4 linked regions of the Struthio camelus genome follow. The protein of the gene in region 4 interacts with the protein of the main gene of each other region in a biochemical or structural test. Links are inferred from orthologs where the notes say so. Each region holds a gene or a part of one and is shown on either strand. Other genes may lie near its edges. The genes, in order: TOPORS, NKX3-1, SRSF1 and TOP1.

Region 1 (7,631 bases), on a different chromosome or scaffold from region 4:
GCTGCATTGTGCTCTGCTGTCCGGGCAGCAAGACCTGCGCTTTGCTCTGCCGTCGCTCCCACGCGGCTTTGCTGTCTGCCAGCACCTGCAGGGCTGTCTTTTCCTGCCGCTGCGAGAGACAAGCAGTGGCCAGGCCCAGGGAGCCCTCTTTGCCCTGGAGGGGCACCTAGGCACCAGCACGTGGGGTGCTGAGCGTGGCAGTGACAGACACAGCTGGCAGGCAGGCAGAGTTGGAAATGCCCTGCAAGCACCACGTCTGTGGGGTCTTGCAGTCAGCAGCTCCGTCTCCCCTTCAGGTGCCACCATCGATCTGCAGAGAACATCCAGCAGCTATGCGTGGGAAGAGAGTTGGCTCTGCAGGGCTTTTTGGTGCTTCTACTCTCCAAACCCTCCAGATACTATTTTGCAGGTATTGTAGCAGAAGTCATCCATGCTGCTTCAGTTCCTTCCTGGGCAGTGGGTGACAAAGCCCAGGGGATCTCCCCTCTGGCCAGCAGGGTTGCTCAAGGGCCTGGCGGTGATCAGGTTCCTGACACCAGAGGGTTGACTTGCTAGTCTCCCTCAGGAGCAGGACTCAACCGAACGGAACTGAGTGGCCGCATCCTGCCCACAATCCCTGGTCATAGCTGGCTGAGGGAGTTTCTCCTTCGAGGCCCATTTGCCTACCTCACCTCCGACAGGCCCTTTTCAGAGGGGCTGGGAGGTGGCGGAGGTGGCCTGCCTCGCTCCCTCACCATTCACTGCTGTGGCACTCTGCTTTCAGCCGGACGTTTCCCCGGGACAGTGCTGGCCTTTCCAAGGGTCGCAGGGCCAGGTGGTCATTTGGCTGCCTGCACGGATACAACCAACCGCCATCACCGTGCAGCACATCTACAAGGCAGTCTCTCCATCTGGGACCGTCAGCAGTGCCCCCCGGGATTTCACTGTCTCTGTAAGTCTCTGCTGGGCTGCAATGAGGCCGTGGGGAAAAGGCAGAGCAGGCACTCGCTTGTCTTGGGGCATCCGCTGGGGTTTGGGCCTTGCTCTCTCGTAAGCACTGCCCCAAGAGAATATTTCAAGGGACGGGGTGCTTTTCTCAAGACCTGCTCGGTGCTTTTTGGCCGTGCATCTCAGGGCAGTCAACCCCCCTCACGGAGGAGTCTCAGCTTCACACCATAACCTGTACTACACTACCGCTCGAGCCACGGGAGAGGGCCGGCGGGTAACAGGTCCGGATCCAGCGCGTGCGTTTCCCCGTCCTCAGGCGGAGCCTGACCCTTGTGCTTTGTCTCTCAGGGAGTGGACGAGGAGGGAGAAGAAGAAACTCTCCTTGGGACATTCACCTACGACGTGGGAAAAGAGGCCCTTCAGACCTTCCCCCTGAAGGTACAGTAAGTGCGTGTGGGCAGAGACCAGGCAGGAACGTGGCTGTGCCCGCACGTCCGTGGCAGAAAGAGCATCCACAGTTCCTCCCCGGGGGGCAGAGGGGCCAGACCCACAGCCGAGGCACAGCGGGGTCTGAAGGCGCACCAAGCAGTGCGCAGCGGTGGCAGCAAAACAAGAGCGAGGGCAGGGTCGCGCCCATGGGAGTGCAGGACCCTGGAGCTCCCAGGCTGCACCTGTGGCTTTCAGCAAAGCTGGTTGCACGCGGGGCCTTTCCATCAGCACGAAGCCTGCGTGCCGGACGGAAAGACAGACATCGGGCAGCGAAAGCCAGACGGCAGCTCCATCGAGCTGCGGCAGCACCTGGCAGCAGGGTGGACGGCTTCCCTGGGCTCTCGCTCCTGCCGGGAAGGCCAGCCGAGGAGGAACCGGCTGTTTGGAGGGGTTGATCACCCAGCTGCCCCACGTGCGGCAGCCCCGCACCAGCCTCTCTGCTAGCACACAGGAAGCAGCAGCGGGAAGGGGCAGCAGCAACGGGGACCGAGCCCAGCCAGGGCAGGCGGTGGCAGGCAGGACGCAGGCGCCTTCCCTCCGCAGCAGGACTTTCCCTGTGTTCCTGGCAGTCCTGCTGGCAGCCCGCCTCACACGGCCACAGCTGCTTTCACCCACTCTCGGAGGCCACGCACACGCCCAGAGCCGTCCTTTGCAGCCCTCGCTGCAGAGGGGAAGAGGGAGAGACAAGCTGTCCACCTCAACCAGGGCCACAGCTTGGCCCTTAACAGGGCCAGGGCTGGCAGAGGGAGGGCCCTGCGGTGTACTGTCCCTCTTTGCACCCCACTAACCACGTTTCTTCTTCCCACGACGTCTCTGCAGGAGGAGCTGTCCAGAGCCTTTCAATATATAAAGCTTTTTGTCCAGAGCAACTGGGGGAACCCGGAGTACACCTGCATTTATCGAGTGCAGGTGCACGGGAAGGTGGCAAGCCAGACCTCATCTCAGGAACCCAGAGACAGCCTGCGACCCCTCCTCAATAAGAATTAAAGACATGAACACAAGAACAGGCAGGCCCAGGCTAATGGCAGCGTCCAGCAGCACAGGAGCCCTGGGGGAAGGGCAGCCCCAAGGCAGCTCCCCGGCCCGGCCCGGCCCGGCCCGGCCCGGCCCGGCCCGGCCCGGGGTGCTGGCAGAGGCCGTGGTAGCGACAGGACCGGGGTACACAGCAAGGACCCAGGGTAAGAGCAAGGTGGGGAAGGGCAGGCAGGGGCCACCCCATGGTCCGGGGAAACAGCACGGCCCATAGTTTTACACAGCAGCCTGGGAGAGCAGCAGGGCAGGGGAAGACAGAAAAGCCGGGATAACGGCAGCCCCAGGGTCTCGGCAGACCCGGGGTAACAGCAGCCCCACCTAACAGCAACCCTAGTGTCAACGGCAGCTGTGCCCTAACGGCAGCCTCGCCAGCACCACGCTGATGGCGGCACCACCGTAAAGGCAGCTCTGTGTATCGGCCGCCCCCTCTCACAAAGCGCCACACTCTCCCGTGCAGTCAAATTCCCCGCGATTCCCAGCAAGCCTTGCCCAGCTCCTCCAGCTGCGCAAACTACAGCCAGAAGAGGGGCCGGACTTGGGGAGGAAAGGAGCACGTTTGTGCGGGGTGCGGGGAGCGGAGCACCTCTGCAAGGAGGTGCTCGGCACTGCTAGGCAGCTCTCCCAAAGCAAGAGCACGGGCGGTCGCTTCCCTTCGCCGCCCCCGCAGCCAAGGCAGAGGCTTCTCCCTCCGCAGAAGTGCGCACAGAGCGCGCCAGCGCCAGCGCCTGCGCTCCGCGGCAGCTGAAGCTTTCCCCTGTGGTTCGTGCTCTGCTGCTTGTGCTCGACACTCAGGGAAGCTGAAGTGCTGGTGGAAACCTGGCACTGCTGGTGCCAGCTGTGTACACGAGAGGACACTGGCCACGCTTTGTCCGACTGCACCTGGGCCAAGGCACTTCAGAGACCAGAGGAATCGCTCCAGCCACTTCTGAAGGAAGAACCTGGGGGGCATCGCTGCGGATGAAACCTTCATTTCCTCCTTCAGCAAAGCGATGCAGGATCTGCTCACATCCCAGCTAGCAATAAAGCTGGTTGACAGAAGACTCTCCATCCTCTTTCTTCCGACCCGGACACAACAGACGTCGCAGCCCTCTCAGGAATGCAGCACAGCCTAACCCTCCAGTCAAATTCCTCCTGCGGCTGTAGAACAGTCCTCTAAGTGACAGCCCTTACTGCTCCCCTCCGTGCTCCCGCACGCTCCTCGTCCCTGCTCAGTCCTAGAAAACACTCTCTTGGCTTTGGCCTTCAGGTGCAGTTTGTACTGGCTTCAGCACAGGCCACGAGCTCGGCACGCTTGGTGCCACGCCAACACCTCCTGAGCTCTTCTTGCTGCTCGGCCAACAGCCTGTGCGTCACCACCTCGCGGGACAGCTGTAGGAGGAGAGGCCGCGAATTAGCACAGCAGAGGCAGCATTCCCTGCGCACCAGCGGGCTGCTCTCTGGCCAGTCGTCCTCTGCACACACAGACAGAGGGACAGTTTGGGGAAAGGGAGCAGCCGCCCGCCAGGAAGGGAACGCTGGCAAACGCAGCAAAGGGAAGACGGGTGCCGCCGTACGCCGGCCAACGACAGCTGCCCGTGTTTGGCCAGGCCGCAAAGGCCGTGCAGACCCCGAAGACCCCTCGCGCGTGTCTCCAGCGGGCAGGCACGGCGCTGGAACCCCCCGCAGCCGCCTCCTCGGGGCCGAGGCAGCCTAAGGGGCCTCTCTCGGCCTCTGCCGCGGCGGCCCAGCGCGGCCGGTCCTGCTGCTGCCCGCGCGGCCCCGGCGCTCAGGCGCGGCGCAGACAGCTGCTGCACCAAGCGGCCTCGCTCCGCCGCGTCCCGCCGGGCAGCGGGGGCGCGAAGACGCCCAGTCCCTGATCCCGGCCGCTGGCAAGCGACGCCAAGCGGGAGCCCCGGCCCGGCCCGGCCCCCGCCGCTCCCGCCCGCCGACAAGATGTCGGCGCCGGCGGCCCCCGCGCGCCGGAAGTGACGCTGCCGCGGCGGCGCCCGTCTTCCGGCCCGGGGCTGCGCAGCGCCCGGCGCTGCCTCGCTGGCGGCGGGGTCCCCGGGGCAACGCGCTGCCGCCGCCGCCGCCGCCGCCGCCCATGTCCGAGCCGCGGCGCCGCCTGGGCGAGAGCGGCCGCCGCCGCCACCCCGCGGGGGACCCGCGCCGGGAGGCTGCCGGCCACTGCCCGCGGCGCCAGCGGCTGAATGCGGCGGCCGCGGCTGCGGCCCGGGGCCCGCGGCGGCGGGCGGCCGAGGAGGCCCCGGCGGCGGTGAGTGCGGCCGGGCCGGGCCGGGCCGGACCGGACCGGGGGTTGGCGCGCGGGGCGCTGCGGTCGGCGGGGGGAGGCGGGGAGGTGCGAATCCGTCTCTTTGGGACAGGTGTGCCGCGGGATCCCTTGTTAATGAGAACGTTGTTGGGAAAGAATGAGGAAACCGTCGCTGAAGTGTGAGGAGGGAGGGAGAGGGAGTCCTGCCTGGAGTCTTCGGAAATGCCGGCATGTTTCAAGTCCCAGTAAAAACTTGCAGCGCTTTAGATTCTGGTTGTGGTGGCAGAGGGAGGGAGGCCTGGAATTGCTTCCGTATTTTAAAAATTATCTGTTGATATGTGCATGAGTTAAATCGCAGCAATTCATGTATTAGTTTCAATTGGCAAGAATATCTTCATGGTTTCCACAAAAATCATAATTTGCTGTAACAGTACAGACTAAAGAACTTAGTGCAGGCATGCTGCTAGTGATCTTTTGTATGTATTTCGGGGGCTGCTTTATCTGACTGTCTACTTCTACCTACCAACCATAAATCTTACTAAGTGTGTCTGTTGCTTTTCCTGTTCATTTTTGATGCATCTTACTCTGTAGAGACCTTCCAGCAGAATAGAATACTCCAGCGCTGACTGCCAGGAGAACTGCCCCAAAGATACAGTGCCAGTCAGTTACCCATGTGCTTCATCCCTGAAGAGCTTTGTAGACAGAGTCTGCAGCAAAGAAAGAGCAAAACAGTACAGTGGGGAAAAGGTGTCATTAGTAAAAGAAGAATGTAGAGTTGAAAAGCAAAACAGTGGGCCTTTCTAAATGAGAAGAACAAACACCAGTGTCAGGACTGAATGTCTAAGAATGGGAAGAATATCAGTGTTTTGGGGGCCAGTACTGATCAGTTGCTGAGGTTTCTGGTATGTCCACCTCCATAAGTTAATAGCTATTTTAGGAGCGCTGAATACCTGGTAGCACAGGCTTCTGCCTTCCTCTAAAAGAGGTGGTGGTGCAAATGAGAACTTCCACTGAAAAACAGAGAGGACAGTTGTGCTCTTGCTAGGGAAGATAGCTTAGTTTTCTTCAATGGGCAGAGCAGGATTTCTAGAACTGCAGTTCCTAAGCCTGGTCAATTTTCAGGGTCATGCCTTCTTCTCTCTATCTTGGGAAAAAATTTAACCGTGACATCTAACTTCTTGAGGGAAGCAGTAGCCTGAGGAGAGGCCAGAAAAAGTAGTTATATCATTGTGGTTTTTTGTTTGACACCATATCGACCTTATGTTTTTTACAAACTAAAAGAAGGATAGCAGAGGTTTCTTTGTCTAGATATTCACATCCTTTCCTCTCAGGAAGGTAATGATCTTTTTGTGTTTGTCTTTTGTAGAACATGACTTCAGCAGAGTTTGCAGTGGATAGCAACTTTTCACCGAAAGCTAGCACAAGCAAGCTGCATCAGACAGTGCCAACAGATGCATCTCCTGACTCTAAATGCCCGATCTGTTTGGATAGATTCGACAATGTTGCGTATCTAGATCGTTGCTTGCATAAGTTTTGTTTCCGTTGTGTCCAGGAGTGGTCAAAAAACAAAGCAGAATGCCCACTCTGCAAACAACCTTTTCATTCTATTTTCCATACAGTTCGTGCTGAGGATGACTTTAAAGAGTACATACTCCGACCATCAGAAAATGGCTCTTTTGCCAGTCCTGATGGCCGGAGATTTCGTTATCGTACTACGTTGACAAGGGAACGTCGCACCTCATCTTACCATCGACACACTTCCTCTTCCCGAAGGACGCTGTCCCCTCCAGATAATGGAATATTGTTTGAAGGGTTATCAAGCCAACCAGTGCGGCAGAGAGATGGAGAGATTCAGCAGATGATAAGGAGGCTCGCCTCAAGGAGGCAGGCTAGTGCAGAAGGCAGATCTCTGCGGCAGATTCAGGAGGAGGACATGATCAACTTCCGCAGAGCTCTGTATCGCACTGGTGTGCGTGTTCGTAGTATTCAGGATGGTGGCCGCTATCGAGATATTTCAGCAGAGTTTTTTCGCCGGAACCCTGCTTGCCTTCACAGGTTGGTTCCCTGGTTGAAGCGGGAACTTACAGTCCTATTTGGTGCCCACGGATCTTTAGTTAATATTGTACAGCATATCATCATGAGTAATGTGACAAGGTATGATCTGGAAAGCCAGGCCTTTGCTGATGATTTAAAGCCGTTTTTGCTGAATCGGACTGAACATTTCCTACATGAATTTGTCAGTTTTGCCCGGTGTCCTTTTAATTTAGAGGCGTATGATCAGCATGCCAATTATGACTGTCCTGCTCCATCGTACGATGAAGGAAGCCACTCAGACTCATCAATTATTACAATATCTCCGGATGAAGCAGATTCTCAAGGTCCAGATCACAGTTCATCCGTGACTGGTATTGATCAAGCTCCGTGGGATGATGAAACTCCAGGGCCCTCATATTCCATCTCAGAAGAGGTTCATGCAACCATAGCTTCTCCTTTGGAGACTTCAGAAAGTTCTGATGAGGACTCTGCAACAAAGAGAACTGCAGTGCAAACCCAGATACAGGCTAATGCTGGTTCCAATGACAGTGACTCTTCTTCAGACAATTGTGTTATTGTTGGGTATGTTAAGCCTATAGCTGAGAGGACACCAGAACTGGTTGAGTTGTCTTCGGACTCTGAGGAATCAGTCAAGGAAGAGAAAAGGGAAAATATCAAGAAACAGCAGCCAATCCAGTTTCACAGTTGCAGTGACAGTGAACAAAGCCCGAGTTCCTCACCACACTCTCCTATGTATAACGAGAACCTAGGTAGCTGTAAAAGCTGCTCATCCCCTGCAGCCGAGAAGATGGAGTCAAAAGAGGATGAGGACAAAAGTAAAATAAAAAATTTATCTCCACAGGAATTGATCTGGAGCCCCTCTTCAGGAAGGGACAGG
Region 2 (7,468 bases), on a different chromosome or scaffold from region 4:
TTTTGTTTTCCCAAGCTCAGGTGTTTGAACTGGAAAGGCTGTTTAAGCAGCAGAAATACCTCTCCGCTCCGGAAAGGGAACACCTCGCCAGCCTGCTCCAACTCACCTCCACGCAGGTGAAAATCTGGTTCCAGAACAGGCGCTACAAGTGCAAGAGGCAAAGGCAGGATAAGTCCCTGGAGCTGGCTGCCCAGCCGCCGCCGCCGCCGCGGAGGGTGGCCGTGCCGGTGCTGGTCCGGGACGGCAAACCCTGCCTGGGGGGCTCCCCGCCTTACTCGGCCCCGTACAGCGTGGCCGCCGGCCCTTACGCCTACAGCACCTACTACAGCACCTATAGCTGCAGCCCCTACGGCGCTAACTACGGCTACGCCGGGGGGCTGCCGGCACCCACCGACACGGCTCCCGCCAGCCGCGTCGCCAACACGAGCTTTGGGGTGGCCAGCGCAGCCCCAAACCAGCCCCCGCACTTGCAAGCCGTGGTGCAAGCGGGGATCAGGGCTTGGTAAGCGGCCGCGGGAGCCAGGATGGCGCCGCGGGAGCCGCCGCGGCACGGCTTTCCCCGGGAGGGGAGCAGTCCGGGGCCTCCGGGGGTTTCTGCCACCCGGGGCGGTCGGACGTGCCCTGCGTGTCCCCGCCGGGCCACGGCGGGTCGGGAGAGCGGGCCGCTCGCCTTCCTCACTGCGGCTTTGGGGACCGAACGACCGCAGGTGCTTATTTATTTGAGGACAACGGGCCCGGAGCCTGGCCCTTCCCGCTCCCACCGGGGTTTGCTCCTTGGGGACGCCAGCGGGCAGCGCTGGGAAAGCTGCTCTTCTTCTAAGGCGACCGGAAAACAGGGTCTGTGCGCATCACTGTGCCTTTGCTTTTTTAATGAACACTGTATTTAATGCTTAGAGTTTCTCTTTAATCTTCTGAGATATATTTCTGATTTATATTTCTTAATATCTTCCCAGCACCGATTTTCATTTTTGTTGATATTATTATTACTATTTACAATTAAAAAAAAAAAATTGGTGAAAATGTGCGTTTTCCCTCTCTCATCGCTCTTCAAAACCTAAGGTTTTGACTTTTCCCAGCCACAATTTGCATCTGAGTGCCAGAATCTGATCCAAAGCCAACACGGAAATCCATCTGAACACTAACAAATGACCCAGAAAGGATATTGCCCAGCGGTCCAAGCACTGCAGCTCCCAAAGTTTAACCTCTGTTGGTGAGTTCCCCCCTCTCTAAACCCTGGCAAGTCTTTTAAGGTCCCGGTTGCTATTTCCTTATTGGTAAAACAGCTCAATATCTGCTTAACAGCTGATCTGGGTGCCCCAGATCCGCATCTGGCTCTATAGGCATCAAGCCTTTTGATGGGTAAAAGGAATACATATACATTCTGTACACACACACATACGCACACATATGCACACACCCTTGTACGTGTAATGCTGAAGAGCCGCATGGCCTTGCACGGGGCGAGGGCTGGGGCTTCACAACCCCGACTTCTGCGCTGGCGTCGGGGCCGGGGAACGGGAGACGCGCTCCAGAGAGCCACCCTTGCCGTTTCGATTGTTTTGCAGAGAATTTTTTCAGGCGACTCTTCCCGTCGCAGCGTGGGCTTTGCCTTACCTTTCTTTTTTTTTTTTTATTAGTTCATATGCTTTTTGAAAGGAAAAACCCACTGCTCGAATGATTACTTTTCCTGCCCATCACAACGCCCAGGCAGGAACTAGGATCCCAGCAGCGTCACTGTTACTAAACCCCGACGCTTCCAGCCTCGCCGTGAGAGCAGCAGGGCAGGCACGGTCCTACAGGCCGCTTCTCCTGCCACGAGTTTGTGAGGCCTCTCTCAGAGCACCTGCAGCTGCCGGCGTTAGCGGGCGCTGCAGGAGGCATCAAAGGGGAGCACAGCCGATACCCTGCACAAGCGGGATGAATCCGTGAGTTACACTTGCTCAACTACCCTGTTAAGGCTATTTTGAGAGCTTGGCCACGAGGGGCTGCATTTCCCAAGGACTTTGGCCTGCACAGGGCGAATCGGAGCTGCTGCAGCCCATCGCGCCTTGCAGAAGCAGGACACGCTGAGGAGCCGCTGCCTCCTTCCTCGTCCCCCTCTCTTCCTGCCGCCTTCTTACCCTCCAGGAGAGGCTGGCAGGAGGCCACTGAGGTTTTACCGCACACGGCCCCATCACTCCAGCTTTCGCTCGCTTCCCCGACGGGCCGTACCTGACATCCAAACCAAAGGAGAGAAACCTGCTCGCGCCCCCGCCGCGGACGCCAAGGGAGAGCCAGCGCAGCCAGCAGCATTTCCAGCACCGGGGCTGAAGCGCGAGTTTAACAGCGCCGAGCACGCCCGGGTTTTTTTGCGTTGAGGTTCGACAGCAAAACGAGGCAAGAGCAAGAGGCTCCAGGCTTGTGCTGGAAAATAAGAAATTATTCTGCCCACATTAGAAATTACCCACTCTGCCAGCCACTACAAAACCGGGAAGATCTGTCCCAAACACGCCTCCCCCCCCCAAACCGGCCAACCTTTGCGTGGCCAGCCGCAGGGGGCTTGCACGAGGCGAGAAACGGCCGCGGAGGGGTGTTGCAGCAAGGGGCTGCAAGCGCAGCATCCCTGGCCACGGCCGGCCGCCAGAGCCCGTCCCGGACGCCTGCTACTGCTCACACCGAGGGCTGCAACGGGGCGAAAACGGGCCTGGCCGAAAAAGTGCCGTGCAGCCAGGCGCGAGGGGTCGAGCAGGCGGATAGGAGCGGCGCTAAGAGCTACGGCAAAGCTGTCGCTGCAAAGCCGCGGTGTAGCAGAGCAGCCCCGCGATACCCCGATGCCCCTGGAGAGGGGCAAACAGCCCAGCTGCAGGCACAGAAACCCTCCAGCTACGTCTTCTGCTCACACGCTTGTGCGGCTGCCTAAAAGCCCAAGTGCTCCGGCGCGCAGCGGGGGAGCGTGCACCGAGCTCCTAACGTCTGCGGCACCTGGGAAACAACCAAACGCCCCTACTGCACCTATTGCAACCTTCGTCCTCTCAGAGGTTGAAACAGCAACGGTGACGGCACGAAAGGACGGAGCTGAGCAAGGGGACAGAAGTAGCCGGCTCCGAAATGAGGCACAGAGCTCGCGCAGCGCTGCGCCCGCAAGGCACGGGGGCATCGGCCGCACGGTCCTGCCCGTGAGCCCTGAAGCATGGCTGACTTCGCTGCAGCTCCTGGTGCAGGTTGTGTCTTCTGGCCCTCTTTGCAAGGCAGCCGGTGGGCTTCGGAGGGTCTCGCTCCTTGCTTTGCCGGCGCTCGCCGGCTGGCTGTCAGCTCCGCTGCGACACAGGTAAGGATGCCTGCCAACGTCGCCTACGGGGCCCAGGGGGTGCTGCCGCGAGCGAACGCGCTTCCCGGGGGACACGGTCCCAGGGCCAAATCCTGCTCTGCCCGGGGGCGTCCCCCCCCGGCTCGCTTGGCCTCGCTTTGCCGTGATTTTTTTTTTTTTAAAAAATCACGTGCTGGACACGTTTGCGGATGTGGCTAGGGATTTTACGTGCAGAAGGGGAATTTGTCGTGAAAACAGAAACTCTAGGAGTCTGACGCATCGACGGCACGTAGAGCGCGGGTGCTGAGGAAGGGGCAGGCGCGACACAGAGGGGGCGACCGGGGCGGCGCGGTCCGGCCGTCCCCGTCCCGCTGGGCGCCCTGGAGCCCGGGGCCTCGCCGGGGCCGCGGCTTCTTACGCAAACGCTGTCCCAGGCTACAGGTGGCTGAGGTCTCGCGCTAAAATTATGCTTAATTTTTCATGCTAACGCCGCCGGGGGCCCCTTCCTGTGCAAGCGAGCGAGACCTCTGCCTCCGATCTGCTCTCCCGCTCCATCGTGCCTTAATCCGCATCCTGAAGCCCCTTCACAAAGATAGATGAGGGGGTCTTTAACATCTTTTTCTCCTTTTTTAAACAAACTGAAAGTTCAAAGTGAAAGTTTTGGAAGGAAACCCTCAAAACCTAGATAAGAAGAAGCTTTTTCCTCTTTTTTTTTTTTTTTTTAACCCTCTTAAAACTCAGCATTCCCACGGAGCTCTAGGGCCGGCCCGGAGGACACGCAGCACCTCCCCAGCTGGGAGCAGGCAGCGCGCGGCCGGCCCGGGCTGGAGGACGGCATCGTCCCGGGACGGGAACGCCGCCCCGGCGCCCCAAAACCCCGTCCGCAGCGATGCTCCGGCTGCCGGGAAGGAGGCAGCGGCTCAGGGTTATTCCAACCGCCGGCGCCGGGAGCGCGAAAGCTCCGGGGGGATCGGGAGGCGGCGGCGGTGGCTGGGATGCGCCGCGCTGCGGGGCCGGCCGCAGCATCCCGGGCAGCGGGAGAGCTCCCGGGAGCCGAGCCGGCGGCGCAGGGCGTAGGCTCCCGCCGGGATCTCCAATCAGGCCCGGGAGGCTTGGCTGCCGGCTGTATAAACGCGGCGCCGGGCGGGCGGGCGGCCAGAGCGCTCCGGGCAGGGCGAGGAGGAGGAGGAGGAAGAGGAGGATGAGCGCCGGGGTGCTGCCTCCAGGGAGGCCGGGAGCCCCCGGCAGTGCCGAGGCGGTGGGAGGCCAGCGGCACCCCGGGGACCCCAACCCGGCCCGGCGGCAGCCGGCAGCGGGGCCGAGCCCCACGCGGGGCCGGCAGACCATGCCCGTCCTCTCCAGGCCTCTGACATCCTTCCTCATCCAAGACATCCTGCGGGACGGAGCCGAGCGGCGGGAGCTGGACGAGAGCCAGGGCCGCGGCGGTGCCGGCGGCCGAGGGCTGGGGGAGCCGGGGGCGGCCGAGGGCCGCGAGCGCCGCTCGGCTCCCGGGGGTGCCGCCGGGGACCCCGGCCTGAGCCCTCGACCCGAGGCAGCGTCGCCGCCCCGCCAGCCCCACGCAGGTAAGGGCAGCAGCCTCGGCCGGGCCGCGAGCCAGCGTCGGCGGCGCGCAGCTCGCCGGAGGGGCGTAGCGTCGGGGCAGGATCCCAGCTGCGCCCAGCACCGAGCCCCGGAGCCAGACTACCGGGGCGTTCGAGGATATCCGTGCTTTAGCTGCGGGAAAGCAACCTGGGCATCAAAGACCATCCCCGCTTCCACCGTGGGAAACTCAGAGGAAGAGCAGCCGGGCGCGTAGCTTTAGCCAGGCTCTTCCAGTAGCGCCCGGTACCGATGCTGCCTAAAACTCTGCTGGAAAAAGCCCGCTCGAAGGATTTCTGTGCGATCTTGGCGGAACTTAGTTCCCTTTTAATTCAGACCCCCCCCGCCCCCGTCAAAGACGTAGCTTGTGCCTCAGCTTTTACGCCGCCTTCGGCGCGGCGATGCAGCCGCAGCGGGCGTGCGATGCCTCCGGTGCAGCCACGCTTTGAAGTTCTCCGTGTTGCATTTATGCCCTTTGCCGTGGGGCTGCTTTCCTGGGGGCTCAGCACCGCTCCCAGCACCCTGCACCTCGCCGTGTCCCTGCCCGTCACTGACACGAAGCCGCTCTGGCGTTTTTATTAATCTTTCTAGCATTGACCCGCTAAATTCACTGGTCAGAATAACATTTCGCTGCAGAACTCACATACCGAAAAAAATCACATGCAGAAGCAATTTGTTGAATGGTGCCTCTGGCGCACCAAGAGCCCAAGGGCAGAGGGAGCCCCGGGCAGGGGATCGGCGTTTCCCGTCCTGCAGCGCCCCGGGCGAGCGGGCCGGGTGCTGGGCTTGGACGGCCAAAAGCAACGCTGAGCTCTCCAGCGACCGCCTCGCGCTCGCTAGCGGAGACCTTGCCAGGGGAATTTTGGCTTTGCGTTTCGATGCTATTAAAAGAAGCTGCTGCACAGAGCAAATTCGGAAACATTCACCAGGCTGGTTATTAAGAAAAATCATTAAGCCCCCAAACCAGCTCTTGCAGAATGGAGCTGGTGCCGAGCAGCACCGCTCTGGGGATTTCAGCGGGACTGGGATGATTTACACAAGCTGGGAATTAAGCCCATTGTTTCTATCTTAGGCATTATGTTCACATCTTAAGAAAATATACTAAGAAATAACCAAAGAAGAACTTGGCCTATTTCCATAGCAAGCTGAGTAATACACCAACAGGAACTAACTCCATAAATAAATTGACTTAAAAAGTTTTGATAGTTGCAGGTGACACTTCCCAGGGGCAGGAAGAACACGTCCACTTGTATTTTTGATCCTCCAAGGCATCTTTCAGGCTATGGTTTTTTGGTAAAAAGAGCCCACAGCTGAGAAATGGAGGTGAGCCACTAGCTCTGCGGCGCTCTGCGCGAGCTGTGTGCGCTCAGCACCTTCCCGGATCACAGCTCGAGTGACTGAGCGATGCCGCGGGAAACAAGCCCGAGGCAAATCCCGGGCTGCTGCTTTGGCACTCCGGCTGTGGTCCGAGTCCAGCTCTGCGGCTGCGTACGATGCAGTCAAGCCGGTCCTGAAGATTTAGAAAGCCTCGAGACAGCGCCCCAAAACTTCCTGGCATTGCCGCGCGGTCGGGAACAAGAGGGAAGAGGGGAGTCGCTTTCAGTGCTTTCTAATTGCAGGCGGGTTTAAGCTGCACTGATTTTACGTTTCTGAGCTAGAGTTTAAGGAGAGGAACATACTTTTTTGTGGAGGCCGGGATCTTCCCGTAGGCACAGGCGAGGGGACTTTGCAAAGAAGTGCCCGGCATCGCGAGCTCTGCAGCAAAACCCCCAGAGCCGCCAATGCCGTAACAGTACCTGGGAGCGTCAGGCGGGCCTCACCCGCGTGGCAAAATGCCCCTCACTGCGTTTTTCTTTTTTTCCCCCACTAAATATTTACTTATATGAATTAAGAATCTATGATATTAGGGGGAAAAAAAGAAAAAAACCTTAGGCAACTTAATGCACTGCTCCACTAACTAAAAAGTGGCAATATGAATATTTTGTGCTTTTGGAGGGGGGAGGAAGAGTAATTTGGGCAACTTGCAGAGGGTAATTCTCACCTCTTTGCTGGGCAGCGGCGGCGGCGGAGGAGCCCTGCGCGTCGGAGCGCGAGAGCCCGCCGGGCGCCCCGCGCTGCCCTCCGCGGACCCCCCGGCAGCAGAAGCGCTCCCGCGCCGCCTTCTCCCACAGCCAGGTCGTCGAGCTGGAGCGGAAATTCAGCCACCAGAAGTACCTGTCGGCCCCGGAGCGCGCCCACCTGGCCCGGCACCTGCAGCTCACCGAGACCCAGGTGAAGATCTGGTTCCAGAACAGGAGGTACAAAACCAAGAGGAAAGAGCTGGCGGCCGAGCTGCGCGGACTGGCCAAGCCGCCGGCCGGCCCGCTGCCCCTCGCCGGCGCCTGCCGCTACCTCCCCTGCCTCTCCTACCTGAGCGCCTGCAGTCCCTCCTGGTGGTGAGCGCGGCCCCCTTGCCTCTTAAACAGTTTTTTTTTTTTTAATGCTGTGTTGCTTTTTCTCATACTAATTGGGGATGGGGGTGGGGGGTGGGAAAAAGGCGCTTCTGACTTGGTTCACAGCAACGCTCGGCGCCTAGCTGCCATG
Region 3 (7,702 bases), on a different chromosome or scaffold from region 4:
ATTCCCAACTACGTTTTCTATTTTTGCTTTCATTCTGATACTTTAAAAAAAAATGAAATAGCAACGCTGTATCAGTCACACAGAGGACATGCAGATTTTAGCAGTATTGATATTATACTCTATCTGATTTGAAGGTACCCTTTATCTACAAGTGTACAAATACTACATAACATTAACACTTGTAACCAAATGCTGCATGACAAAGTAAACCAGTACTCCCACCCCGTCCCGGTTTATTCCTTTAAAAAACTAGAATGGAATAGAGAATTACAAAAGCAAGTATTTAGCCACAATTGCCAAAAAAGTTTTAAAGAAAAGAGCAATTGTAGTCTGCGGGAACTAAAACATGCCTGAAGAAGTGACAAGTAGGTGCATGTACTCAATTAACCTGTCTCTCAGTATAAGGTCAATACTGCCAATTTCATCTGTGACAATAGCACTTGGAGTCATACCATTGCCTCCATTATTGATCTGATCCTCCTCAATCCTCCTTTTGACAATCCTAAAATGATTGACATGTGCTCCACAATCCTTTAATCCAAAGCATTCTTAATCCATCTCTTCAGATATGTCTACAGAAAGACACACGAAAAGGCAAGATAAAATATAAGATCCCCCAGAAGAGACAAGTTAGCCACAAACATCCCAACATCCCCAGCTTGTATAAACCATAGCCGAACACTGAGACATTTACACAGCAATACCACAGTTTGAAGAATGTTGGTAGTTAACTATAACTAAATTGAAACAATCCTGACTGACATCAATTAAAATACAATTTACCAAAGACATGAGGGGAATGTTGATGTTAAGGAGCAAATACTCACTAGGGATTTTACACAAGAATGCAATTCAACACTTCAGCCAATTTGAATAAAACAGTTTGAATTAAAAAATGAAAGACTGTACTGAGTAAAGGAAAACTGTGTACAACACGGGGTTCTACAAAAAGATCATTGCTAGTGATCATTTATGTACGAGAACGGGATCTGCTGTGACGGGGAGAGTAGCGTGGAGATCCTCTGCTTCTTCTTGGGGAATAACTGCGGCTTCTGCTGTTGCTTCGACTACGGCTTCTGCTACGACTACGGCTGCGTGACCGAGATCTTCCATAGCTTGGACTTCTTGGACCATCAACTTTAACACGGATGTAGGCAGTTTCTCCCTATTGAATAGACAGAACTTTCGATTGAAGGGTCTAGGCTTTACGGCCATCTTTTTAGGCATGCTGACAGACTGAAGATATTGTTTACCAAAGCACAGAAATAGACATCAAGTCTTTAAAGTCTATTTTACGACAAACTGACTACGGGCTTAGCTTACATGCTTTGCGTATTAGTACAATGGCAACCACACATCCTTACCTTCAAATCCTATCGTTAAGCCCTTTGTATCCAATTCTGGCCCAAAAATAAGCATGAAACCTACCTCATGAGATCTAAATTTAGTGTTATCCAGTTTTCGCACAGCGTAGGTCATATCTTCCTTCCGTACAAACTCCACGACACCAGTGCCATCTCGGAAAACATCAGCATAACATACATCACCTGCTTCACGCATGTGATCCTTTAAATCCTGCCAACTTCCACTTGGAGGCAGCCCTGAATAAAAGGCAATACATTACTTGAAAAATGAACTACATTATCATACAGTATTAGATATTAGATACAATAGCATGCCACAACAGGTGAGACAAACTATTCAGTAAGGAGAAAGGCTGCCTTGAGAAGCTGTGAACACTGCTTCCAGAATACCCGAGGGGGATGCTTTTTAAGGGGGGGAAAAAGCTGCAGGAACGGCATGGCTCCGCACGGAAACCAGGCGCTGCGAAGCCGCCTCGAGGACCCCCGGGGGAAACGCGTTAACTAGAGAAAGAGAGAAAGGACTCACCCGAGACGATCACTCTGTACTCCGAGCGCCGGGACGGGGGGCCATACCTGCCCCGGGGGGCGCCACCCCCTCCGCCGCCGCCACCGCCTCTGCCGGTGCCCCGGCCGCTCCGAGGGAACTCCACGCGGAGGCGATACCCATCGTAATCGTAGCCGTCCCGCCCGTAGACGGCGTCCTCCGCGTCCCTGCGGGCCGGGACGGGCGGTGAGCGCCGACCGCAGCGCGCCCAACCCGCCGCGCCCTGCCCACGCACCGCCCCCCCCCGCCTTTGTTCCCGCTTCCCGCCGGCCCCACCCCGCCCTCCCCCCGCGCGGGCCGCGGCCGCCCCACGGAGCGGGGGGAGAGCACGGGGGAGGCCGTTAGGGCTCCGGCGGGTGCCCCGGATCGCTGGGGCGGCTGTGGGGGGGGGGGGTCGGGAAACGTCGCGGTTCTCCCTTCCCCAGCAGGCCGCGGGTGGGCACACGCGGGGGGCCCCCCACCCCCCCTACCCCAACGGCAGGGCCGGCGGGGGCCTCACCTGGGGTCCTCGAACTCCACGAAGGCGAAGGGCGGCCCGCCGCGGCGGTTCTTGAGGTCGATGTCGCGGATGGCGCCGTACTTGTAGAACACGTCCTCGATGTCCTTGGTGCGGATGTCGGGGGGCAGGTTCCCCACGTAGATGCGGCAGTCGTTGTTGCCGGCTGGGCCGCGAATCACGCCCCCTCCGGACATGGCAAGGTCAGCAATGGCTGCGGCGGTGGAGAGCCGGAGCTCAGCGAGCGGACGGGTCGGCGAGCGCGGGGGCCGAGCCGGGCACACGGGAGCGCACACACGCCGCCTCCCCCAACAACCGCTTCAAAATGGCGACCACGGCTTCCCTCGCGGTCCTACTGCGCGCAGCGATTTCACCCCGGGACGCAGCACCGCCTTTACCACCACAAGTGCGGCCGAGCCCGCGTCTCCCGCCGCCGCGCTCCCACCCCGCCCTCCTGCGCATGCGCGGCAGGAAAAAGTAGTCCCGCTATTTTTTTTTTTTTTTTGGCTCTCGGCGATTACAGCTAAGAAGCCGGGCCAGTCCCGGCAGCGCAGCTCCCGGTGGGAGGGCTGCGGCGAGCTAAATCCTTCCTCAGGGAGCCCCGGCTCCCCGCGTTTGGGGCAAGAGCCCCTTCAACGGCCGCGCTTATCACGGCGGCAGGCCGGTGGCGTCACATCCGGTGCGGAGTCCACGCAAAGAAGGCCCGGCTGGGGGCAGGGGAGGGGCCCGTCCCACAGTGCACCGCGCGGGGAGCGGCGGGGGCGCTTGGCGCCAAGGCGCGGGCTGTGTCCCACAATGCACAGCGGCGGCCGGGGTGGGGGGCGGCGGGGCGCGGCGCAGCGGCGGTGGGGAGGCCGCGGGCCTCGGCGGGGCCGCGCCGGGCCTGGCCTGGCCTCCCGGCCGCGGGGAGCGGGGCTGGGGGTGCCCCGGCCCGGGGGGTCCAGCCAGGGGGGTCTTGCCGGCGGGGCTGAGCGGCGCTTGCCCGAGGGGCAGAGCGCTGCGCTGCCCCGAGGTAAAATGGCCGCCCCGAGGCAGTGCAGGAGGCCTGCCGGGGATGAGGAGCGGGGCTGGGCCCGGCCCGGCTGCAGCCCTCGGCCCTGAGAGCACCGTCCTCACCGGTCCTGGGGAGGGGGAATCCAGTCAGAACTTGGGGTTCAGTCAGCTTGGGGCTGATTTTTTTCTTTCTTTCTTTCTTTCTTTTTTTTTTTTTTACTAACTGGTCCCTGCAGCCTTCCCCTTTCTAAATTCGACATTCTTCAGAGTGCCCACTGATTGCTATCCTGTTCTGGAAGGACAGCTGCCTCTTAAGAATCAGCCATCAAAGCCCCAGTGTTATAAGTTTGAGGATCAAAGCAAGAGGGACAAAACAGACCTTAAAAGATGTGCCTGACTTTGTAGTCTGCATGAATTTTAAAAAGCGAAGGAGCCAAAAAAGCATTTGGGAGACAGGGAACTGTAGGTCTCAAATGAGGATGCTTTGAGATTATGATGCATGAGAAATGCATGCAAGGGAGGGCAGAAAATAAAGTCCTATAGAAGAAGCAAGAAAAAAATGTATAGCACTATTATGTTCCTGTGATTGTCATGCACGTAAAGTCGTTTTTAAAGACCAATATATTCTAGTATGTCACAAAGTCCTGAAAGAGCTATTAAAGCAGTGGGTGTTACTGTTCAGCGTACAAACTGCTGCTTACTAGGGAGGATGGGAGGAGATGACCCAAACTTCAGTTTAAAAACATAATACTGTTTTGGCCAGCAGTCCCTCCTTGATGTTTAAGGCTGTGTTGGCATGCAGGTTTTCGGAAGGCTGCAGATAAAATGACGTGAAATCTCAAGCCTCCATTTCAAAAGTACCTTAGAAAATGTGTCCGGTTCTCAAAGGTATTGCGTCTCACTCTTGTTAAGAGTGTGTCCAAGAATATAAACTGAGGAAGGTGTTACTGCTGGAGGAGGCCATCACTTTCTGGCGAGTAGCTGTGGGCACAGTCTTTCTCCTGGGTCAAGCGAACTAGCGCACCCTCAGTAAACAGTGCACGTTTCTGTGCGTTGCGTAGGGCGTAGAGCGTGCATGCAAACCCTTACAGCGCAGCAGCTGTTCCCTGGTACGTTCCCACCTCGCCATAACCCACCCTGACTTTTTGTTTTGCCCACGCTTCGCTGCTCGGAGTTCACATCACAAACTGCTTTTGAAACGAGATTCTTCGTTTGGTCTACACGCTGTATCAGGTGTGGGAGGGAGACCTAAAAAGCAGCTGAGATAGTTGTACTGTTACAAACGCTAGGCTGCGTGTCCCTTATTTATCTTTCTGTAGTATCTTCCATAACAGCTCAAGCAAGTCCACATGGTGCAGGGAAGGTTGTATCACTGTAACTACAGTGGTAGGGTTAAAATAGTATGTGAATATGCAGAAAAACCCTTTAGGCTCCTGAGTTAATTAGGGGATTTTGAAAAATGTGTCATGCCTCTTTAGTAGTGTCTGTCATGCATACTTCATTTTTCATGTACTAATTGCAAATGCATATTCCTCTAGAAAACAGCGGTCCTAATGACTTAGAAAAATATTTCCAGTATGATGTTGTAATGCGTTTGACTATTATGAATGCCTTTCATTTCTCTCTCATGTAGGTTAAAGTACAGTAATATGTTCTACTCTAATGATTTTTAACATTGGTAATAACTACGTTAGATTGCTAGTGGTTTAGATAAAAGACTGCTATTAATCACTGAAAGATGTTAAAAGAAAGCCCATCTTCAGAAGCGGTGGTTTCTCTGAGTGTAAACTACCCACTATCTGGACATTTTCTACATCTTTACAGAATATTACCGTTTCACAACTCTACCAGAATATGAACTGATGAAGCAGTGACTGTAGTACCCATGTGGTTCTAGGCCACGTACGTAAGTTCACTGGGTACTCTTGGTAAATACATCTTTTGAACCAGCATAACTTGACAAGCTAATTTAGTCATTTACCAAATCAGTAGAAATACTTAATGCATACTTAAAAAAATTCCCCCCCCCAAACTGAGAATATACTCTTTCCAGGTATAGAGACAAGAAATTAGTCTTTATTTTCAAAAGCTTATTAAATTGCTGAAAGTTACTCTGTAAGGCATCATAAAATAGTAGTAAGTCTGCCTGGTTTGCTAAAACCCTATTGCATAATTTCTTTTGTGTGTTAATCATCCTCATAACTACTTTAAATCATTGCCTTAATTACCATAATGAAGTGTCTCTTTATAGAATTATTGATTATTTTCTTCCTCATTGCATTTTTAGCTTTGTGTTACCAACAGATAGCTTTAAAACAGTTGGATAAGCTGCAAAACATGTTTGCTTTGTCAGAGTCACTTTTGGCTTTCTGGCAAAGTGTGCTTGTGGAGAATCATTAAACGTTATTAATTATGTAGAAAATAAATTACCAGGAGGGGAATGGCAAATAATCTTGTAAAAAAACGGACTACTGTGGAATAACAGGCTTTAGTTTTCAAAATGAGAGTAATGTAAAGCATGGCTTTCAATTTGAGCATATTGATCAGTAAAGCAAATATTAACCGTGTAACCCAGTATCAGGAGTATCTGCACGTACCTAGCTTGCCAGATAGAGGTACGCTACAGTACGATTTGTTATAATTGCTTCTTAGTCTGCTGTAGGCCCTCTCGTATACAGAAAGAAAAATAGCACGTTTGCTTTAGCTCTTTCTGCCGTTCTCACAGCTTTCCTTTCTCTCTCCCTCGTTCTCAGAAGTCTTCCCATTGTGTTAACATGCACTCTCACTCTTTTTCGCATAACCGTGCCAATGCCTGAGGTGGGTCTTTTTATGCAAAATACTAAAACGCTTTATAATGGGGTCATTATTCATTGTCATGTGCGGTGAAGCCGAGGCGTCGGAAGCAGAGCGATTTTCCCAAGACCACCTAAGAGAGCTAGCGACAGAGCAGGGAACACAGCTCGCGGCCCCGAGCGTAGGCGGCGCCTGACCGCTTCGGTAGCAGTTCGGAGTGGCCGGTTTCGTGACCTTCGCAGCTTCTCTTGCTATGTCAGTGAGAACCTGTTTTTCCTAAGTCACTGGCAGCCTCCTTAGTACTGTCAGGTCCAGCTGGGATTAGTCTTGAGTAATCTTACTTTGTTGTAAAATAAGTTTATCAAAGCTCAGATACTGAAATGCATGGATCCTGTCTTTGGAGCTTGAAATATAAAGTTAATATTTGGAGGGGCCTTCAATTTTAAACAGTGCCGAATGATTTCATTGTCATCAGTGTTATTAATTTGCATGTGCAAAAAAGTTTCAAAAACATATTAGTTGATTTTGTCCGTGATTTCTCGTCAATGGATGTTCATTGGTACATAAAAATGTTATTGAGGAAAAGTTTTCTTTATACTGGTTAAAAATACTCTATTGAATGGGAGCGTGCAGAGTGTGAAAATGATTATTCAGACTGCTGTTCTGGTGCATATACACAGTAGTACTTGGGATAGATACCTCGGGAAGAAAATCTAATTTGGACTACTTGTAAGATTTATTTAAAGTATAGTTTTTCAAGATTTTTTTCATGTTTCTTTGCATAGAACAGGGCAGAGCTGGTAACATGGAGCAGTTCTGTGGGATTTTGAGATCTCATCTTCTTGAGACTCAAGTATTTCCCCAAAGTGACAATGCTTAGTGTTTGGCAGGATTTATTTTCTTTTTTTGAGAGTATAGGTCACTAGTTTTCCACAGCAATGTTGGTAAGAACGTGAGTAGGGTCCACTAGTCTTTCATGCCAAGATCTGTGGTGTAGGGGGGCATAGAAGGATGGCAGTAGTGTTTTCCAGTGGAATAAAAGGAGTGCTCTGAAATGAAAGATTAAATGGGACCTTGAGGAGTCTATTTTCTGCCCAAGTAGATTTTAATAAGAGTGGCTCATTATTTGAAACGAGGAGAGGGGGCCAAAACCTCCCCTTATTTTGGAGAATGCAAGTGGTTAAAACATCAGACTACATTTTGCATTTTTTACTTTTATTGGAGAGAACCTAAGTAGCTATTTCGGAAGTGAGAGAAACTGAAGGAGTTATTTATTGTTCAGACAAAATTTGAGTATCTTGGTAAGATAATGAAAATATGTGCAGGTTTGAAAATATTTCCCCTAAATGTGGATGATGGTAGAGCTCATTTTATTTATTTAGGTTCATACATAAGGTAAAAAAGTGCACAAGCACGTGGCTTGCGATATCACGATGCATTTCGACTGTGTGAATTGTTGCTGAAAGCCAGCCTGAAAGAACAAACGTAGGTACAGAGACTTAAACAAGAAAA
Region 4 (8,113 bases):
CCAAGGCACTCACACTGCTGTAAGCCTGGGAAATAGGTGATAAAGTCTCCAAATACAGGACATTTCTCAATGCAGTAAAACTAGGAGGACTGGCTGAAGCAAGGTGCTGCTTACAGGTTTCTTGCTGCTTCCTCAAGCAGGAGAATAGCTTCTATTTGCTAATAGAAGGGAGGCAATGTGGCATAGGGGAATATAGGTACATGACTGTATTCCATGTAAGGCAATAGTCATATAGCAAGGTACATGTTCCTATGTATGTTAACTGGCTCAGTGAGAAAATGCATGTTATTTACTCCTTAGAAAATGATCCAAAAGTTCTTCTTTTAATCCCCTTTTTATACTGCATACCAACCTTTGCAACACTCCTGGCTTCATTAACCTCAGCAAATGATGGCACCAAACACAACCTTTCTCACAATACAGCACAACTGATACAGCTAGTATTTTCTAACTAATAATTTCTGGGATTTTTGCAAGCTTCTCCCTTTGCAGGTGAAACTCAGTAATTAAGACTGACCTTTGAAAGCTACCACTCACAATGATATCTGCTGCTTCTGCTTAATTTGCTCCCCTGTTGCACATATAAAACTGTGAATAATTGCTATGGTTTATTAAAGCAGAAAATAAAAAGCCCTCAAACCACTGAGATCATCCTGTTTCAAAACATTCAACAGCACATAATAGGTATGAACGTTTTGAGCAAGTTATCCTAATAAAAAATGAGGGGAGTCAGATATCTGCCTGTTCCTATTTTGTACAAGTGTCACTCTGATCTAGTGATAACAGGTCTTCAGGATTATACTGATCTGGAATCCTGCACATCAAGCAGGTCTCTCTGGTTGTGGAAAAATTGTAGACTAGTAATATAGGTATCCTAACTAAAGCTTTTATAAATGATGAATTAGGACTCAAAAATCATGACAGCATCTTAAAAATGAGATTTTGGGGGGTTTAAATGTCTCGTAACTGTTCTTTCACTACATCCTCAGCTGGTAGAAAGCACTGCTTTCGTATTCAGAAGAACCATAAAACATGAAGGTTAGAAACCTGTTGCTGCCTCTAAATAAATGTTGAGATTATTATGAAACAACATCAAGGAAAACAAAACAAGCAAATTTGGACATCCTGGGACTGCTAATAACATCAGAGGAGTTGGCAGCATTGTGTCTCTTCCTGCCCTCTGAATGAGGGTCAAAGACCTGAACTTCTGATAATGGAATCAAAAGTAACAAATAACTGTATATAATCACAAACTTGCTTTGCATTGAAACTTACTTTGTTATGTAATGCATTTTAAGTTGAATATAAAAGGGAATTAATACAAGCAACATTGCAAACAGCTTCTCATGTGGCTAAAGGCAAGGTAATGGTTCCGAAAGAGGGCTACAGAGGGTCCAGGGTTTTGGATGTATAGATTTCATGTCCTGCATGGATCCTAGAGCCTCACTTTTTGTATTTACTTTCAGCTTCTTAGCCCTGAAACAGCAGAGTCTGAGCTAGTTCCTACCTGCTCCAGTGTTCCTGGCTGGGGCTGGCAAGTGACCTACTCTGAGTAGTAAACTGTTGTCGAATAGCCCCACTTGCACCCATCTCCATCCCAAGGCCTAGCAAAGGTGACAGGCCGAAACTGCCGCCCCATATCCTGCATGGAAAGCTGGCGAGTGAACAACCCAGAAGTACAGGCAAGCCTCGACCCAGCTGAGTTGCTCTGGTCTGAGGCGCCAAGGTTGCCCTGGAGCCCGTGCCCTCTGATGCCCAGGGCGGGCGGGCAGGCAGGAGCCCCACTTCTGCTGCGTTCACGGGGGGCGGTGCCCACCCTGCAGCCAAAGCCCAGTGCAGCCTTTGAGGTGACCTTTGGTAAACCCTTTGCAGATGCCCTTGAAAGCCAGGGATCCAACCACAGAGCGAAGGACACGAGTTTGGGGAAGCTGTTTGTCTCCTGAAGTCACTGCTCCAGCTTTTAGAAAGAAGCACTGCAGAAGTGGAGGCTGCAACCACAGTGCAGCCACAAGCCTGGTCCGGCAAGGGGATTTCCTGCACTTACAGATCTCTTCTGCGCGCAGCGTGGGGACACAGGCTGGAGCTCAAGTAGGATTCTACCCTGATTCACTGTGTCGGCTGCAAAGCTGGTCAGGAGAAAGGCACCCGCCTCCCTCTCCCCAAATGGGCACCCTGAGTCTGTTCACAGCAAGAAGCCCCAAGTTCACCAAATCAATCAAATCTCACAGTTCGCCAGAACTGGAGGGTTTCCTGCAGATTTTATATTCAGGATGATTTATGATTTAATTTAAACATGTAGTTTCCAGACGTTTCTTTTTGCAAGCAATCACCTAGGCTACATTAACCTGATGGTGATGTACTGCCATCCCAGGGAGCCCTCAGAGAGAGCGAGCCAGACAACAGCACTCAGAGGTGTGAACTTCCCCCATTTATCTTCATGGGGTGTGCAGTCTTGCCAGGGAAGCAAGCCTAATCATGTTAACCCCCTCACTGCCAGCCTCTGCCACTGAAAGGCCCAGCTATATGGCAGTATGTCCTGTATGGGCCTTTTCCCTCCTTTGCTTGGATCGTTCCTAGCAACAACAGACGCAAGCTTCGCATGAAGCGGGTGTAAACAGTCCGTGGGGGGTTTGCGGTTACGCTCATCAAGATGAGCTACAGATTCCTGGAACGCCACAGTGCAGGTTGCAGGTTTGCAGAGTGTCTTGAAAGCTTTTTTTCCCTCCCTCCATACAGTTTGTTGCAACAGATGCAGCCACAGAAGTGTTACAGTTGAATACACCTTTGAACAAGTTATAAATTCTCCCTGCATCCCATGGGAGACAGAAGACAAAAAGCAGCAGATGGGAAATGATCCTTGGGAGACTCTTGCATCTGGTTTGGATATGGTCATCTCTGCCTAAGGTTTGCTTCATCCTATGTGCAGTATTCACAACAGTGGCACAAGGTTTTTCTTGTCACCACATGGGAATGGTCCTTATTAGGGCCAGAGCTAACAACCTGGGAAGGTCCCTATTGCATTCAGAGCTGTGGTATCTGGCTGTCAGCTGTCTCTCACAGAAAATGCAGCTCTGAGCCTCCTGTGCCACTTGAGGGGTTTCCCTTTTGCAACCAGAAGGGTGTTTGCAAGTGCCTCTGAAGATGGCAGCTGCTCAAAAAGATAGTGATCCTTTCCTCTGAACAGGGCTAGTTGCAGCTGCAGAGCAGTGCAGCTGGTCCTTCCCTTGTGAGAGAGCAAGGACACCTGAGCAAGGCTTCTCGGGGAAGATGCAAAATGAAGTTGCTGCTTCAAGAGAAAGGGCTTTTAGGAATTTCTAATGCCCAGAGCTCGAGGTACCAGACCATTCCCAAGCTGTCCCACATCAGAGGACACAACTGCTCGCTGGTTTCCCTTACACCTCTGCGTGGCAGCAAGGATGGACGAGCACCTTAGGCTGCTCCAAAAGCAGAGACCCCTTCTCTTTTTGCAAGCTAGGGACAAACAGGAGAGGTGTCTCTTAAACAGCCTTTTCATTATGTTTATACTTAAAAATCTTACGGTGACTAAAGCAGTTTGCATAATAAACAGCTCTAGAGCCAGAAATACTTGCCTGCCCTCAGTAAAAAAAGGAAGTCCTCAGATCCTCTTCTGAAGACAGCAAGAAAGTGACAGAGTTTTCCCTTTACAGGATATAAATATGCAGTGCAAATAGGTGGCTGCTGTCGCTGCTTACATTTTGATGTATCGCTTCTGATAGCCTGGCAGTGCTGGATTATTTTAGTGTCAAATCAAAGCCCTGGTTGTATAAAGAAGCCGGGGAAAGGTAAAGCCTGTGCTGCAGCACTGGATGGAAGCTCCAAGAAGACTGGAGGCAGTCCTGTGAGACATGTACCAGCCGTGCATACTAAACCTGCCATTCAGCACACCAGAGAGAAAGCCCCTTTAGTAGACCTGCTGCAGACCTGAAATAGACGTCTTCAGATTTGGGGCTGCGGAGGGCATTTTGGTTTGTTTTTGTAGTGAGGCACATGATTCATTCTCATATTAGCTAAAAGAAAAGAAAGCGTTTGTTTTGTTTTTCCCCTCAGTTTCCTCATGAGAGAAAACATTTAAGGGGCTGTTTACATAAGAAGAAAAATCTTGCTGACTGATTCTTTTTTAAAGCAGAAAGCTGCCATTTGCACCACACCGTTGCTCACTGTCCTTGCCTTTAATCTCAGCTCAAATCCACCCTGTCTGCATGCCTGCTCAGCGTCATTTTTATCTGGACACAGGACACCTGTACAGCACCTAGCACACAGTAATCTTTTTATGGCTACCGCGGCCTCCGAGTTCCACCCCGATACAAACGCGTAGTCAGACTAATAATGAAAGGTCAGCCTCACGCTTAGCCTCTCTACAGGGCAGATGCGCACAGCAAGCACAGCTCGCTTCCTGCCAAAAGGAACTGACAGCCGTCTCATTTTGAAACGCTCAAACTCAAACCACACACATCAGACCACTTATGCTCCCGCAGGGTTTGCAGGAGCGTGCCGTGGACGGGCTGGCGGAGTTCCTCCCGCGGAGGACCGGACTAAGAGACAGGCCAGCCAGGCCCCAAAAGCCATCGGCGGCGCTTCCAGAGGGAAGACGCACACCGCGCGGAGCCGCCCGGCCGGGACGACGCCTTGGGCGTGTGCGCAGGCCGCAGCCGCCGCGCCGGGCGCGGGCTGGGCCGGCGGGAGCGGAGCCGGGAGCCCAAACCGGCCCCGGCGGCAGAGCCGCGGCCTGCCAGGCCTGGCGAGGCGCAGGGCAGGCCCCACGCCGCCCCCGAGGACATCCAGCCACCGGGCGCTGTAACGGGAGTCCCGCGAGGCCCGGCAGGGCGCTCGCGCTGTAACGGCGTCGGTCACCGGGGGCGCTGCGGAGGGGAAGGGCTCCCTCGGCCCGCGGGGCGGCCGCCGGCCCGCTCCCCTCCTCCTGCCGCCAGGGCGCCGCCATCTCCCCCGGTCGACCCCCCCAGGGGCGGGGCCTGCGCCGCGAGGGGCGGGGCGTCGTATGCAAATAGAGCGCGGCTGCCCGCAGGGTGCCACGGGGGGCGCACGCGCATTCCGCGCTCAGTGGGGAACGGGTCCTTACACAATGCGCCGGGTTCCCTCAACGGTGTTGGAGGGGGCGCGAAGCAGCGGGGCGGGGTCGGGTATGCAAATGTTGCTTGCTTCCGTCGCGCGATTGGAAGGGCGGGAGGAAGAGGCGGGACCGGATATGTAAAGAGAGAGCCGGCGTTCAGCGCGCGCGCGCGCGTGGGAGGGGGGGAGGAGGGCAGTGGGGCGGGGCCTGCGTATGCAAATGTAGCCGGCGTCTCGCGCGCGCGGTGGGGCGTGGCTCGGGTGCAAACGCCCGGGCGGCCGTTTCCCGGCTCCCGCCCCAACGCTCTCGCTAACGTTCCCGTGGCCACGCCCCGCCGCTAAAAGGCGCCGCGCCTGCGCAGTGCGCGGAAATAAGGACTTAGTCTGTTACACAACCGGCGGCGGGGCCAGGGGGCTGCGCTCTCCCGTCGCGTTCAGGCTCCGCGCTTCCCCGGCGGCTCGGCTCTCCTCTCCGCTGCGCTCCGCTAGGCCTCCGGCGCCTTCCGGCATGAGCGGCGACCATCTGCACAACGACTCCCAGGTGAGAGCGCCCTCCGCCCCGGCGGGGAGCCCCGCTCCCCGGGGGCGCCCTGCCGCGGGGCCCTTCGCTCCCCTCAGGGTCGGCGCGGCGGGCCCGGCTGGAGCCCTCCCCTCCCCCTCCCACCGCCTTGCCCTCAGCCGGGCGGCGCTGCCCTCCTGCCGCCCCTCAGCCGGGGCCCCCCCGCGGCCCCGGGGAGAGCCCTGTCAAGCCGGGCTGCCCCCGCCGTGGCGGGGCGCCGCCGCCGTTTGTGCCCAGGCGGAGGTGGGGTGGGGGAAGGGACTCGTGAGCGGCCCCCTGCCGGCAGGAGGGGAGGGGGCTGGCGGGGGCACCCCGGAGCCGTGCGGGTGCCGGGGGGCAGCTTCCTGCCGCCCGCCGCGGAGGGCACTCGTGCGGCGGGCTGGTTATTTCTCGCTTGTTGTCCACTTTTCCTAAAAATGAGAATTAAGCGGGTGGGGAGGGGGGAGAGAAACCCCCGCGCGCCCCTTCTTCCCCCTAAAGTGGGGGGGGGAAAAAAACCCGTGCCGGGACGGTGTTTTCACGGTGTGTCTCCCTGTCTCCCCTCTCCCGCAGATCGAGGCGGATTTCCGAGCGAACGGTGAGTGAGGCCGCGCCGGCCGCGCACAGACATGGCGTCCCAGAGACTAAGTCCCGGCTCCTCGCTCACCGGCCCCATTGTTCCCATCGAGCCGCCCAAAGCGCCCCTTTGCCGGGGGCCTCGGCCCCCCCCGGCCCCCTCTTCCCCTAGAGGGGGCTGCGGAGGCCCCCGATCCGCGCCCATCGGCCCTCCCGGGGGTCCCTTTGGGCCCCGTTCCTCCCTGGAAAGTCGCCTTGTCGACGGTCGGGACTTAGTCTCTGCGCCATTTTCTTTTTCTCCTCTCTGCTGTGTGGCTTTCTCTGCTTCTCCTCCTCCCTGAGCTGCCGAAAAGGAGCCTCCCGCAGAGGAACCCGGCACCGATCCCCGGCCCACGGCCCCTTCTGAGCAGGCACAAAAGCAAAGTTTTTAGCTAAAATAAACCCCCGAGCTGGTTTTTATCGCAGCCTCCCTCTCCCCCCCCTCTACTGCTCCCCTGCTCTGTTCCTTTCAGGGAATCCCTCCCTTCCCCTAAAATGAAAGGTGATTGCAACATGTTGCTCTTTAAAAGATTCTGCTGCATCCATTTTAAGATCACTCTTATTTCATTCCTTGCTGTTTAATTGATGTAACTTTACATTTTGGGGTGGGGCTTTTTAATTAAAAAAAAGCAAAGATTAAAAAAAGATAATATAGACAATTCCAGAAAGGTAGACAGCATCACTTCAGAAAGTTTGCAAGTTGACTCTTTGTTTTGGTTAGAAAGGTTATATACATACACATATGTGTGTCTATATGTATACATAATTATGTTTTTTAAGAAGCTTGACAGCTACCGACTTTTTTTTTTTTTTTGAGTGTTGCTGCATTTTTCCAGGAAGCAAATTCTTTTCCCCCCAGCCTGGTACATGGCAGATTTGGGGGGAGGAGGAGGTAAAAACCTACCTTTGCATGCGTGTGTTATTGTCCTACTGATGGGGTTGTCTGAGGAGCTCAGAGCTGTCCCCTAACTGTTGAGGTGGTAGAGGACAAAAAGGTTTGAAGAGAAGATACCTTAGCTTGGCTAAATGCATTCTTACAGCAATACTGATTTTCAGCACACCTTTCTGCACAATGTCTGTGTGCCTGGTTGCTTTGCAAGCTACTGCACGTAAATATTTACAGATCCCTGTTTGTGTGCTCCTCTCTTTCTCTTATCCATTCATTGATGTGATTGTGTATGTACAATAGGAGCATGCGGTTTCAAATCTATAGCTTTTAAACTTTTCTTTCTACTCTGAAGCTACAGTAGGGCTCTATGAATAATCCTTAGCAGAAGAAAGGGAGGAAGTGGAGTTCCCTGAAAATGCAGTAGGAATTCTTGAAACAACTTAAATGCAAGCATGTATTTGAATACTTGTAGCCTTATGCTGGGAAATATTTGCCAAAGGGTCACTGCTATTTCGGGAAAAGTAACCCCTGAAAAGCTTCAACTACTTACTGGTTTAAACAGGGGAAGTGATGCTTGTTCAACTATTCCATTCCAACTTCTAGTGAACATCTTAGGAGGGTTTTTTTCTCCTTCATTATAACTATATGCTGCTTTATTCTTAGGACGGTTTTAGGCATACAGCGCTTAAAACTCCTTCAATTCTGACTTCTACTATGTGTTGGAGGAAGTCATTACACAGATGTAAAGTAAGACATCTAGATGGAAAAAGTGTGTTACTGGTGAATCAAACACACCGAACAAGTTCATACCAGTTTAGGTATCAGCGCTCTTTTCTTCCTATTGTATTTGCCCATTGAATTTATTTTTATGGCTGTCATGAAACATCATTGTGGCTGATCAGAGGCTCCTAAAATCCAAAATCCTCTTCAGTGATGAAAGCTGTGTGTAACCCTTTTAGTTTTGTAAGGGAATAATGATGAGT

What was found.
Region 1: of the proteins of TOP1 (region 4) and TOPORS, one has a biochemical effect on the other in vitro, tested with the Homo sapiens proteins (2 studies listed by BioGRID). The link is inferred for Struthio camelus from reciprocal best matches to the Homo sapiens genes TOP1 and TOPORS.
Region 2: the proteins of TOP1 (region 4) and NKX3-1 form a complex in vitro, tested with the Homo sapiens proteins (2 studies listed by BioGRID and IntAct). The link is inferred for Struthio camelus from reciprocal best matches to the Homo sapiens genes TOP1 and NKX3-1.
Region 3: the proteins of TOP1 (region 4) and SRSF1 form a complex in vitro, tested with the Homo sapiens proteins (2 studies listed by BioGRID, with this or other methods). The link is inferred for Struthio camelus from reciprocal best matches to the Homo sapiens genes TOP1 and SRSF1.

Annotation. Positions count from the first base shown.
Region 1 is NC_090982.1:18,068,669-18,076,299, forward strand, and holds the start of TOPORS (E3 ubiquitin-protein ligase Topors), read left to right. Parts: upstream 1-4,600; 5' UTR 4,601-4,702; intron 4,703-6,065; 5' UTR 6,066-6,068; coding exon 6,069-7,631. Other genes in the region: sperm-associated antigen 4 protein-like, read left to right, coding at 297-409, 764-931, 1,276-1,365, 2,236-2,403. UniProt on the Homo sapiens protein: Functions as an E3 ubiquitin-protein ligase and as an E3 SUMO1-protein ligase. Probable tumor suppressor involved in cell growth, cell proliferation and apoptosis that regulates p53/TP53 stability through ubiquitin-dependent degradation.
Region 2 is NC_090968.1:5,038,076-5,045,543, forward strand, and holds the start of NKX3-1 (homeobox protein Nkx-3.1), read left to right. Parts: upstream 1-4,460; 5' UTR 4,461-4,487; coding exon 4,488-4,869; intron 4,870-6,941; coding exon 6,942-7,324; 3' UTR 7,325-7,468. Other genes in the region: NKX2-6 (homeobox protein Nkx-2.6), read left to right, coding at 1-506.
Region 3 is NC_090957.1:20,532,631-20,540,332, reverse strand, and holds the start of SRSF1 (serine/arginine-rich splicing factor 1), read right to left. Parts: upstream 3,109-7,702; 5' UTR 2,602-3,108; coding exon 2,408-2,601; intron 2,076-2,407; coding exon 1,891-2,075; intron 1,602-1,890; coding exon 1,429-1,601; intron 1,166-1,428; coding exon 971-1,165; 3' UTR 1-970. UniProt on the Homo sapiens protein: Plays a role in preventing exon skipping, ensuring the accuracy of splicing and regulating alternative splicing.
Region 4 is NC_090959.1:7,165,896-7,174,008, forward strand, and holds the start of TOP1 (DNA topoisomerase 1), read left to right. Parts: upstream 1-5,069; 5' UTR 5,070-5,596; coding exon 5,597-5,629; intron 5,630-6,199; coding exon 6,200-6,224; intron 6,225-8,113. UniProt on the Homo sapiens protein: Releases the supercoiling and torsional tension of DNA introduced during the DNA replication and transcription by transiently cleaving and rejoining one strand of the DNA duplex.